Linked DNA regions of Neodiprion lecontei. The protein of the gene in region 1 interacts with the protein of each later gene in a pairwise test. Links are inferred from orthologs where the notes say so. Each region holds a gene or a part of one and is shown on either strand. Other genes may lie near its edges.

Region 1 (5,041 bases):
TTCGGCAATCCGCCGGTTCACAATCTTTAGTAGAAACTTGCATAAATAGCTCGCCTGTAGTAAATACGTTCGCACAAATCACCGCTTCAAAGGAGAACAAGTGAATACGTAGAATCATTCGGCTAATTGTGCAGCTAAGTTCAACGTATGGTTCAAACCGAGCAAAAACTTGAAGAAGACTGCCTTGAATTATTAAGTTCGCGCTGCGAGTTGCTTGACAATACTTTCACGCACCTCGGACGCTGCTTATTCGAGTTGTAAATCAGCCGTTCGGATACTTATATTACGTATGTACATCATACGTATATGTATACCGGACGATTTTCACCTCGCAGTTTAACCAATGTCGAGTCAAAATTTCGCAGAATTGTAGAGGAAAAAAAAGGCAAAATATACTCCGTACTGAAATCGACTCTTGTTTCTACAGACTGTAGCAACAAGCATAATTATTATCTAAATGGCGTATTTATTGTAGATATACTCAGGTTATAACCCGTTATCGTAAATGGGACATGGCTGTACCACTTTTGATGAATGGACAGTACAACATTTTTTAATAACAGCAATATTGCACGCATAATTATTATTGTTAGTATAATTTTTTCAACAGTCTGAAGATGTGTGAAAAATCTAACGTAGTAGATAAACTTAAAATGATAACAGACGCGAATCTTTTTAGCAATTTATAATATGAATTTTACTCTGGTTCGGTTTCATTGCTTTATTTTTTTTTTTTATTTTTCCTCCACTTTTTAAGATTGTATTTATTTTTATCGTTTGATAATATTATTTACTCATGATATACACGAGCTTCTTTTATTTTCTGAGAAAATTATTCAACATGTTTTCTCATATAGCAATGAACAGACCTGTATATGTAAATAACAGTCTTTCAAGCCAATAAATAAGACTTATTTCAATAACATACTGATAACGACAGCGAAATTGTTACAGTAATTAATTGTTTCCTCCATTGTAATTCCTGCAAAAAAAAGGTATAATTTCAGTATACTTTATTCGGCGCTAGAAATATTTTCGGCAAATATACTCTTTGTTTAGTTCTTACACATTTTCAATCAGTTCGTAAGTTAAATAGTAATGTCGGGTCGATAACTCAAATTCTACCTATCGCTACATGTTTGAAACAGTTTGTCTTCTTGTTCAAAGATGTCTTCGCAAATTGGCTACCTTGTAGAGCTAATGTTGAAACGTCATCGAAAAGTGCCTGACCAGTGCTCGGTAGGTAAGTGAGCCCAGGGCCATAAGAAGCCCTGCCAACGATCCGGTAGCTTCTTTATCGGCGGGAGCCGCTTACCACGCTATCTCATGAGAAAAAAAAATAAAATAAAACTGCAGTAGCGGTCTTGGTTTTTCACGGGTAGCAAAATTCTACCGTAGTATTTTGTTCCCGACTTTTTGATCAATAGGAATGCCAACACATCAGGGAAACGCTACGTAGAGTCTCTATAGAACGAAGTCTAGCGCTACCTGGTGCGCGCTGAATGTAAACTACCTGTTTTCTTAGCATACTTGAAGGAGAAAATTGCAACCGCAGTATTTTGCTGCGCATGAAAATCTAGACTTCAACAATCTTCAGTCAACGGCGTATTTGAGACTTGAATTCCGATATCAAGTAATTGTGTTTTTTTGAATTTTATGTAACCACAACGAATTCCGTGTGATCATCAAACTGAAACAACGTTCACGGATCCTGGAAATTCACTTGAATCACAGAATTTTTCCGTTCGTCTGAATAACGATCTACTGTTTCATTCATATTGCATTTAGTACAATGCATCTTCCCGCCTCAGTCGCTTCGAATAGCGCCGTCTTAGGTTCGACAATAAAAGCGGTAGGTAGCGCTACCTGTACTGAGACGCAGGCGTCCTTCCCGTCGGTAAGTTACCGATCGATCATCGCCCGGCACCCCGCCGCTGCGGTAATCCGAACGATCCGCGCCGAAAGCTGCCTGCCGCCTAGATCACAGCACAGCCTCGGGATTGGTCTGACCGCAAAGTGAAAAAGATGCGTGTGCAGTGTGCACGGGTACCGAGTGTCAGCCGTGGCACGAGAAGCCTGAAGGTTGTCAGTCGCGTAGTCGCGATTCCGCGGCCGAAAATCCATCCCCAGTTGAGATAATAATCCCGGAACGGATTTCACACCGTATCGGTGAAAAATTAGTGCGTGGCGGGTGCAGAGTTCGGAGTTTCGCAACGTAAGGTTACAATTCCGTCGATATTATGTCAGCAGCCTCGGTGCTGCTCGTAGCGAACTGCTGTTAGGATCCAGGAGAGTTAAAATTCGCCGACTGGGTTACGACAGAGGTACGAAAATTGGTGCGGTATCAACGCGGAGAGTGATAAGAAAAAAGAAAAAAAAAAAAAAACAACAAAACTCGCGCTGCTTGACCCCTGATTACGTGCATCGTATAGCTGGCAATTTATTGGTTATGTGTCGCGTAGATTTGCCGTTGAATTCTCTAAATCTCTCCTCGGTATCGAAGAAAAACTCGGCGTTGCAAACGCCGCTTTGCGCGTGTGTGTATGTCCCCCCTCCCTCTCTCACTGTCCCTGCTTTCATGCCTTTCGTCCTTCTCCTTTTTTTTTTTTTTTCCACCCAATAATCACCCGTACGTATCACACAGGCAGGTAATCCTGGGAGGGGCGAATACTTAATTTTCTATATTAATACAAACTCGAATAAATCTTCCCCCCCCCCTCCGCAATTCCTAGATCCGCGATTATATTTATGTCCGAACAGCAGTCGGAGTGAAATGACGGACACATGTAATTTCCGTATCCTATAAATGATCAGTCGATGTAAACTTCGATGTGAAGGAAAGGATTTACCGTTGATTTAGTTTACAACCACAAGTCTCGCATATTATAATATTCATATGTGAATAATGAAATTCGATACCGAGACAAACAAACAAACGAGATATTTCTTTCCCTCCTTCCATCTCTCTCTCTCTTTCTTTCTCTCTTTTTCTGTCGACGACTCGTCTCAAATGCTTTCCCCGGATCGCCCTCCTTTCTTTTTTTTTTTTTTCACTATCCCCCCCCTATTTCCCCCCCCCCCCCCCCCCCCTTCCGCGTTCTCTCGACCTGTCACTTCTCTAGGTATATGCCGGACCTGCGTTTCTGTTCATCGACGCATTGACCGCAGTGCCGAGTGCACGCACCGATATATCACAGTTTGTTTTTGTTCGTCGTCTCTGTCTATTAGTTTTGTTTTATTTACAAACGTCATATAATTTTCGTCGTTGTTTTTTCGGTCCTGATCTCCGCGGTCCGAAATTACATCTCCTTCTCGGTTAAGTAGTCTTAAACCCGGTGTTACATAACCTCACTATTTCGAGTCGCGAAGCCGGTCGTCATTGTTTTTTTTTTCTTTTTTTTTTTTTTTCTCAAATTTTACCGGTATCCTATCAATTGAACCTCGTAGCGCGAGAGCCTGATTCATAAAGTGACAGCAGTGATATGTGAAAGATTCGTGTAAATGTCATAACTTTTACATGTTGTTTTTTCCCCAAATTTTTTTTTTTTTTTTTTTTTCACACCGTTTCGAATATTCAAGAATCGGTGTGAAAAATTGAAAAAAAGAAAACGAACAAATGAGTAGCCCAAAAATCAAAGGAGTTGTAGTAAACTGAGTAGTATACCGTACAGTCAGAGTAATTTTTTGTCGCATTCGATTTCAGGTTTTTAAACTCTACCGGTGATCGTCGGACGTCGAACATACATATTAATAAATTGGGGAGTGAGTGTTGGTGTACCTAAAAATAACTACCCGCATCTATTACGAAGCGCCGCATCGACTTAAATAAACATTAAAAGCAAAGCAAGATCAAGGAGAACGAGACGCAGAGAGCCAAAAATAAAAAAGCAATTCGTCAAGTTTACAATTGTAGTAAAATACCGTGAATAATTGCCGGCGTACTTAAATATTGCGACAACAATCGTGTTTCTTTCAACCAGGTGCACGCAACTCCGTGACGACCGAGAGTAAAAAGTTAACCGAGTAGAAAATATCGAAGAAAAAGAAAAACAAGCGAGAGAGAGAAAGAAAGACGAGGATCGACGAGGTGATCCAGAGAACCAAGAGAAACGCATTTGAGGTGAAACCAGCCTGTAGTGAACGGTGGTGGTGGTTGTGGTGGTTGTCAAGTAGTTGCACTTGACCCAAGTGCGATTAATTAATTGTAAAAATAAAAAGTAAAAATGCCGATGGTTTTTCTCGACCGCTTGCCGGTCCCGAGCTTACGCGCTTACACCTCGATAAGCATCGCGATATTGTCCTGTTCGATTTACTACGCTGCACAAATCGTCAAGGATCCAGGATGGCGGAACAATCATCCGAACTCCTTGGTCGCCGCTGTGGGAAACGCCACCGACAACAATGCATCGGCCATTGTCGATTCCAGGACCCTCGGTGTTCACATGAGGGAACTTTTTGCCTGCATGGTTCAGGAGCCGGGATGCATATGGGTGAGTTTCACTCGACACTTGTTTTTTTTTTTTATATATCACGAAGATTAAGTTAGTAACTCAACTTAAGCTAGCGTGTTTAGGAGAACTCGTTGGAAAATTGGTAGACCTTGGTGAACAAAACATACTCGTATAATTTTGAAAGCAAACTACTTGAACGTTATTCGGATGTTGCGGAGTAATGATTGATACTAACTTCAGTCTTGTCCTTTTTTTGTCATGTTGAAGTTGGGAACGTGTCGTGAAGATTCATGCTGAGAAAAAACCGTTAATTCGTGATTTTGGAACTGTTTGAAACTCAGTAAACCGTTATAACAGAAAACATACTCATATTTCACAATCTTAGTTGCTTAAAAATCATTGTAACAAATAAGAAATTGACGATTTTATCCCCAGTGTTTCGTGAAGATAACGTTCCTAACTTCAACCTCGTTCAAGTATGAGCATGAAGTTTAAGTAGCGTTACTGTAACGATGCTTGTTAATGAAAAATCGCTACTTCGTGTCTTTAAGAATTTTCGAGAATTAGTAAATCATTATAAACAGAATATA
Region 2 (5,764 bases), on another chromosome or scaffold:
TAGCTAATCTGTTTGCATCCTTCTTCATCTGATTACTCGTCAATTCAACCAAACTTGCTTTCTTTTTCGTTTCTACGTTATTACTTGATAATTGCAAGTTTGTTCTTGTTGGGGTAGGATTTTGTAGAAGTTCCAATCGAGCCCGATCTTTTTCTAACATTTTAAAATTTCTCTTAGCTGGAACTGCCGTAAAGCTACGTCCACCATATATAGTCTCACCTTTACCTAGTAACTTGTTCTGCAAAGCGTTTTTTGTAGACACACCTCTGCTATTACTGGATGATTGTAAATCGGATCTCCGGGCGCATTTATTATATTCTTGTTGAACGTGATATATACAATATTCACATTTATGTAAGTTTACTATACTTGTACATGGTTCACCATTTTTCTTTTTCGATTTACAAACTCCCATGTCTTTAGACACTCCCAATATCATTATTCTTTGTCCATTATCAACAGATAAGGCTGCCTCATTTATATTTTCATCTTTGTTATCCAGTACTCCTGGGTTCAAAACTCCAATCACCATGCCAGTATTAGTTTTCCAAAATGATTTGTAGGCATCACCAAATAAAAATAAAGATACGGTTTTAATACCATCAGACAGGTCACTTATCTTCCAGATACAGTACTGGTTTCCTTTTTGTGAACTGCGTGTACCAGATTTGTTGATAAGTACTCCGGCAATTACCCAGTCAGTTTGGAGATCTGCAGTGTTCAAGTGATATTTGATTCTAGAAACTGTGACTGGTGTTCTACCTGTCATTCTTTCCTTTAGAGAGGCTGAAGACACAACAGGATTTATAATTCTTAACCCAAATATTGGGTCGCAGTATATGTCTTTTGATTCAGTCTTGGTGGAGTCAGGTGGACAGCATAACTCAGTACTGTGATTTTTAGTGAAAGATCCGGATGTATTTTTAAATGTTTTTGGATAAGAGGTGTTTGTTTCGGATGCATTACTCTTTAAAATGTTCTTTATCTCTCGACCTGAGCTGGAGTAATTTTGATTTTCAAAATCACGTTTATCTTCATCATCAGATGAATCCGTATCACCATTGTGAATCATAGTTTTTTTACCGAGTGTAGAATATCTATGAGGACTAGGAATATTAGTTTCTTGTTCTAAAAAGTTGAGGCTTGATTCTGTTGGCTTTGATTTTTGAATGGATGCATCTGCATCTTCTGTTTCATCATTTGCTAGCAGATCTTCTAGCAAATCTCCAACGTCGGAATCATTGTCACTAGCCATGGTCAAACAGGTTTTCTACCTAAATAAAAAAGCAAAAAATTCATTGAAATAAAATTCACTGTTATATCTATTGTATTCTTAGACTTGGTAGATAATTAATATCATTCTTCTTTTACCTTTGGTGTATTGCCAGACAATAGTTGGTTAGAACAGAAATCTATGAATCTATAAAAAACGTCAAGGAAGTTGTATATTCAGGTGGACATTATTATGTATTAAATATATCAATATATTTGATGCAGCACACGTTGCACTTATCACTACGGTGGATTTCTGTCAAAAATGATTACTTAAAAACCAATATGAATTTGCTGACACATATCTTTACATTTGCCTCGCCATACTTTTTGGCGGGTAAGTCACAATTAACAATCACGAACTATATAGAGAGATTGGAACGAGTAGAAAACTCATGGATAATAATATGGTAATAATGAGTAGTCCGACGCTGCGCCTCTAGCGGGAATAATTGACACACCTGTTGGTAATTACAGTCGTCAAAATTTTATGCGGGCATCTCTGACGTTACTATTTCTAGCATGGATTGTGTGGTCAGAGGTCTGTCTGCTGTGGCCTGGTGCTGCTTGTCTTTAGTGTCAGTTTGGATTACTGTCAAATTAACAAACTTGTTTCCAAATTAGGCGCTACCAATGTATCTGGAATAAAGTTGATATAATGCGATTTTATAGCTGCAAATATTCATCACCTCTTACCGTTCAGATACCAAACAATCGTCGTTAAAGTTCATAATTTTCCGATACCATGAATGGTTATGTTTCAAGTGCTGTTTAACAATAATGGCGGCAATGTCCCCGTCCGAGGTGAGTCGGTGTTAAATTTTTTGCGAAATGCAGGTGAATGTCAGATTATTCTGACTGCTACTACGCTTCTAAGTAGTGTGCAAATTTTATTTTACTGGGTAGCTAAAATTGAGATACCAAAGTGTATCGATTGGGTATCTAGTCCAATAACTACGTGAGTGCATTGTCCTCTTGGGCCAATGTGACGTTTTACTCTATTTATTTATTCCATTTGTCAATTTTAGTTTTCGTCGCTTAGTCACGTGCCAATGCAATTTGTATTAAATCTTTTGACGTATGTGACTCATGATAATTCTGAACAATGAATTTCTATGCTTAACTGAAAGTGATAACATATTTTTATCCCACCTTATGACTCACAAACGCAAGCAAAATAGTCTTATAAAATGAAAAATTATGGCTGGTCTATAATGTACAAGACTGGATTATGTTTGACACTTCGAAAACTGGATTATTATAATTATTAAATTTAATGTGGTCCAAGCACATTTGTTCATTTGTGACAGATGTCCTAGATTTTATATATCGCTTCTGCTACAGAAAAATGCAAGATAGAAATTTTTACTTTAAATTATTGTACAACCGCCACTAGTTCACAAATAATCGAATATATCAATGTATTTGCCAAGGTTGTCACAAACCTGGGAAATCGGTAGAATAGGAAAAAATCAAAGAATTCACAAGTTGCTAAATGAAGACAAAGAAATTTGATTAAAACTTGCTAATGTAGAATATAGTCAATTTTGATAAGTTATTTGATAATTGCTTACCTACTGTTCCAAGAACTTCATTCCGAGGCAGTTCTCTGTGATAAATTTTATTAATATTATGGTACATAGATACTTTGATATTTTACTAGGTTATCTACAACAGCATTCAAAATATAACTAGTTAATTACCCGTGGGTTTTACTCTCAGCAGATTCTGTGGTATAGTCTCCAAATTCTGTTAGTTATTCTTGACCCTCATTTGAATTACTTTATCTGACAAAGAATAAATTTTACTGGATTTCAGCGGAGATTACAAAAGGAGTTGATGTCATTGATGCGTGAACCACCTCCTGGTGTTCACGTAGATGGTGATCAAGCTGGCCAGAATCTGACACAATGGATAATCCATATGGAAGGAGCAAAGGGGACGCTATACGAGGGTGAAAGATTTCAGTTGCAATTTAAGTTCAGTTCCAAGTACCCATTTGATTCACCTGAAGTCACATTTATTGGAGGCAACATCCCTGTTCATCCACATGTCTACAGCAATGGTCATATCTGTCTGTCTATACTGACTGATGATTGGTCACCTGCTCTGAGTGTCCAAAGCGTCTGTTTAAGTATAGTTTCTATGCTGAGCAGTTGCAAAGAAAAGGTAATGCTCTAATATTTTTTATGTGGTTTTTTTTTCTTGTATGATTTTTCTTTTGTTTTATATTCGTTCCTCGCTATCTTAATTGACTCATTGAGTTGTTCAAAGCGTTTCAAATACCTGGTTTCCTCAGTTGACTTGTTCAGTTTATGAAGAATACATTTAACTGTGAAAATGAAATAATGAAGATCTTAGTTCATCAACTCTTCTGAGTTATAGTTCGAAAGTTTGGATCTAAGTTTTGTTCATCATTAGTAGGAATGATCTGTCAACAAAAAAGCAGAACATTGAAAGATGTTCAAGCTTCCAGTAATATTCATTATTTTATACAAAAGAAAAATTTACCACAATCTTCAATTCCTTCTTTTGAATATTTGAAGTTATTATTGAGTATTGAGCAATTTTATGCTATGGGTGAATCTTTCCAATTCTAATTGTTTTTTTATTTTTGGTTCGCAGAAAAGGCCACCTGATAATTCCTTTTATGTGAAGACATGTAATAAGAATCCAAAGAAAACGAAATGGTGGTATCACGGTACGTTCGTACACTGCACAAATAAAATATATTTGGAAATCACATGGCTTGAAATTTTATCATTATTTTCAAGTATTAAAATTGTCATGGATGTTTAAAAAGCTACCATATTAAAAATAATGTCTGGATAATTGGAACAAAACATGAATATCCTTGCACTCATACAGTTGCAGACATCAGCTTGACTTGTCGTGGTAATATATATTATATGTGTAATATATTCTATTTCTATGCCAACAGACGATAGTGTTTGATTCTTGAACACTATTAATCTTGGACTGGCGTGCGCTGACAACTGGCGTAATTTGGACCGAACTATTGATCATGATCAGTTGATCGACGCGATCTGCGTATTAAAAGAATTCGAACAAAGGAACATAAAAGAGAAACGCGTTTGGAATCGTAGAAACGTTCTTATTGTGGCGATAGTAAATTAAATAAATATAATGAAATATAAAGTCATAAAATAATACTATTAACAATAAAAATCCAAGAACAGGAAAGAAACATTGTGATTGAATCAGTTGTGTAAACGTTGGATTATACAGTATTATTATTTATCTCAAAGTGTAGAAAAGAGAAAAAAAATTCATGACATATTCTTATCCATGTCAGAAATCATATGATCAAAAAACTAAATGGCGTATTAAAAATTTCATCGCAGTAAAATATCATCCATTAGTTAGCATTAGAAAATCAATTTCTCTGTTGCTTGTAAGCATCAAAATCGCATGAGTCAATAATTATTTGCAAAAAAATGGGAAATTTTTCACAAACGTATAATTTTTATTTAAAAAGAATATATTATATCCTACTTTAAGACACGTTGGATATGTTTTCACATTGATTTCAGATGCATTTTAGAGTTTGGAGAAGTGCCACCAAATTTGAACCTTATTTTAATCAAGGAATTAAAATTTAGCTTGAAAATATGAAGGATCATTTTTTGTATTACCAGGCCCTGATTTGTGATGAAAATAATTTTATTATCAAGTAACATAATTTTTCCTCTTACCTCTCTCACATATTAACATAAACAACTGACCTAGCACAAGTGTAATAATTATTTGTTTACGACGGATCTCAATCACAATTCTTACAACATTAGAAAATCAAGAAAAGTATTTAATATCCTATGGCACTATTAAAAAGCGCTGAATAAATATTGTCCCTGAGTTTTTAATGCCGTATCTTTTCATTTCATTGAAAACTGTAACTGTGTTTGGCTTCTCGAAAAAGAATTTTCCCAAGTTTTTTCACTTTTCAGCACACCACGCGTGTCTGACGAAGTAGAGGATGAATTATTACCTACTGCGCTTCCAGTGATGATGAAAATGTTTTCATCACTGATGTATAAATTTCACGATAATGACCACCACACATGCCTCAAGGTGGGAGTCTGCACTTAAAAACTGTGTAGAAAAGAACTATTGTTTCTGCACACAGTATCTTTTCTTGATTTTATTGAATAGCTTGATTAATTCAGTGCAGTGTTAATCAATTCCTGAAATGTTGCTGATGTTGAGTGGCTAATGGATTTTTGACAGTGCGCTACTATGATGTTATTCCATGTGTTCTTTTGAAATCCCTCACCCAACCATCTGATGCTTTGAAATCGAAATTTCCATCGAGATATTGCATAGCAGCAGCCATTGCCCATTCTTTCAGCAAGCCGGTTGTGACAGTAACTCTTCTGTGATTTTTTACCTCAACAAAACGATCATAAACATTCTTATTTATCACTGCTAATTTATCGTATCGTGTTCCACCTCTTTCAATGTGTACTTTCCA

Evidence for each region.
Region 2: the proteins of E3 ubiquitin-protein ligase AMFR (region 1) and ubiquitin-conjugating enzyme E2 W interact in a two-hybrid assay, tested with the Homo sapiens proteins (2 studies listed by BioGRID and IntAct). The link is inferred for Neodiprion lecontei from reciprocal best matches to the Homo sapiens genes AMFR and UBE2W.

What each region holds. Positions count from the first base shown.
Region 1 is NC_060260.1:39,792,656-39,797,696, reverse strand, and holds the start of E3 ubiquitin-protein ligase AMFR, read left to right. Parts: upstream 1-2,002; 5' UTR 2,003-2,215; exon of another isoform or gene 2,216-2,336; intron 2,337-3,184; exon of another isoform or gene 3,185-3,315; intron 3,316-3,431; exon of another isoform or gene 3,432-3,497; intron 3,498-3,703; 5' UTR 3,704-4,223; coding exon 4,224-4,490; intron 4,491-5,041. UniProt on the Homo sapiens protein: E3 ubiquitin-protein ligase that mediates the polyubiquitination of lysine and cysteine residues on target proteins, such as CD3D, CYP3A4, CFTR, INSIG1, SOAT2/ACAT2 and APOB for proteasomal degradation.
Region 2 is NC_060265.1:21,203,561-21,209,324, reverse strand, and holds ubiquitin-conjugating enzyme E2 W, read left to right. Parts: upstream 1-1,828; 5' UTR 1,829-2,052; coding exon 2,053-2,076; intron 2,077-3,090; coding exon 3,091-3,441; intron 3,442-3,897; coding exon 3,898-3,973; intron 3,974-4,213; coding exon 4,214-4,227; 3' UTR 4,228-5,156; downstream 5,157-5,764. Other genes in the region: protein MCM10 homolog, read right to left, coding at 1-1,255. UniProt on the Homo sapiens protein: Accepts ubiquitin from the E1 complex and catalyzes its covalent attachment to other proteins.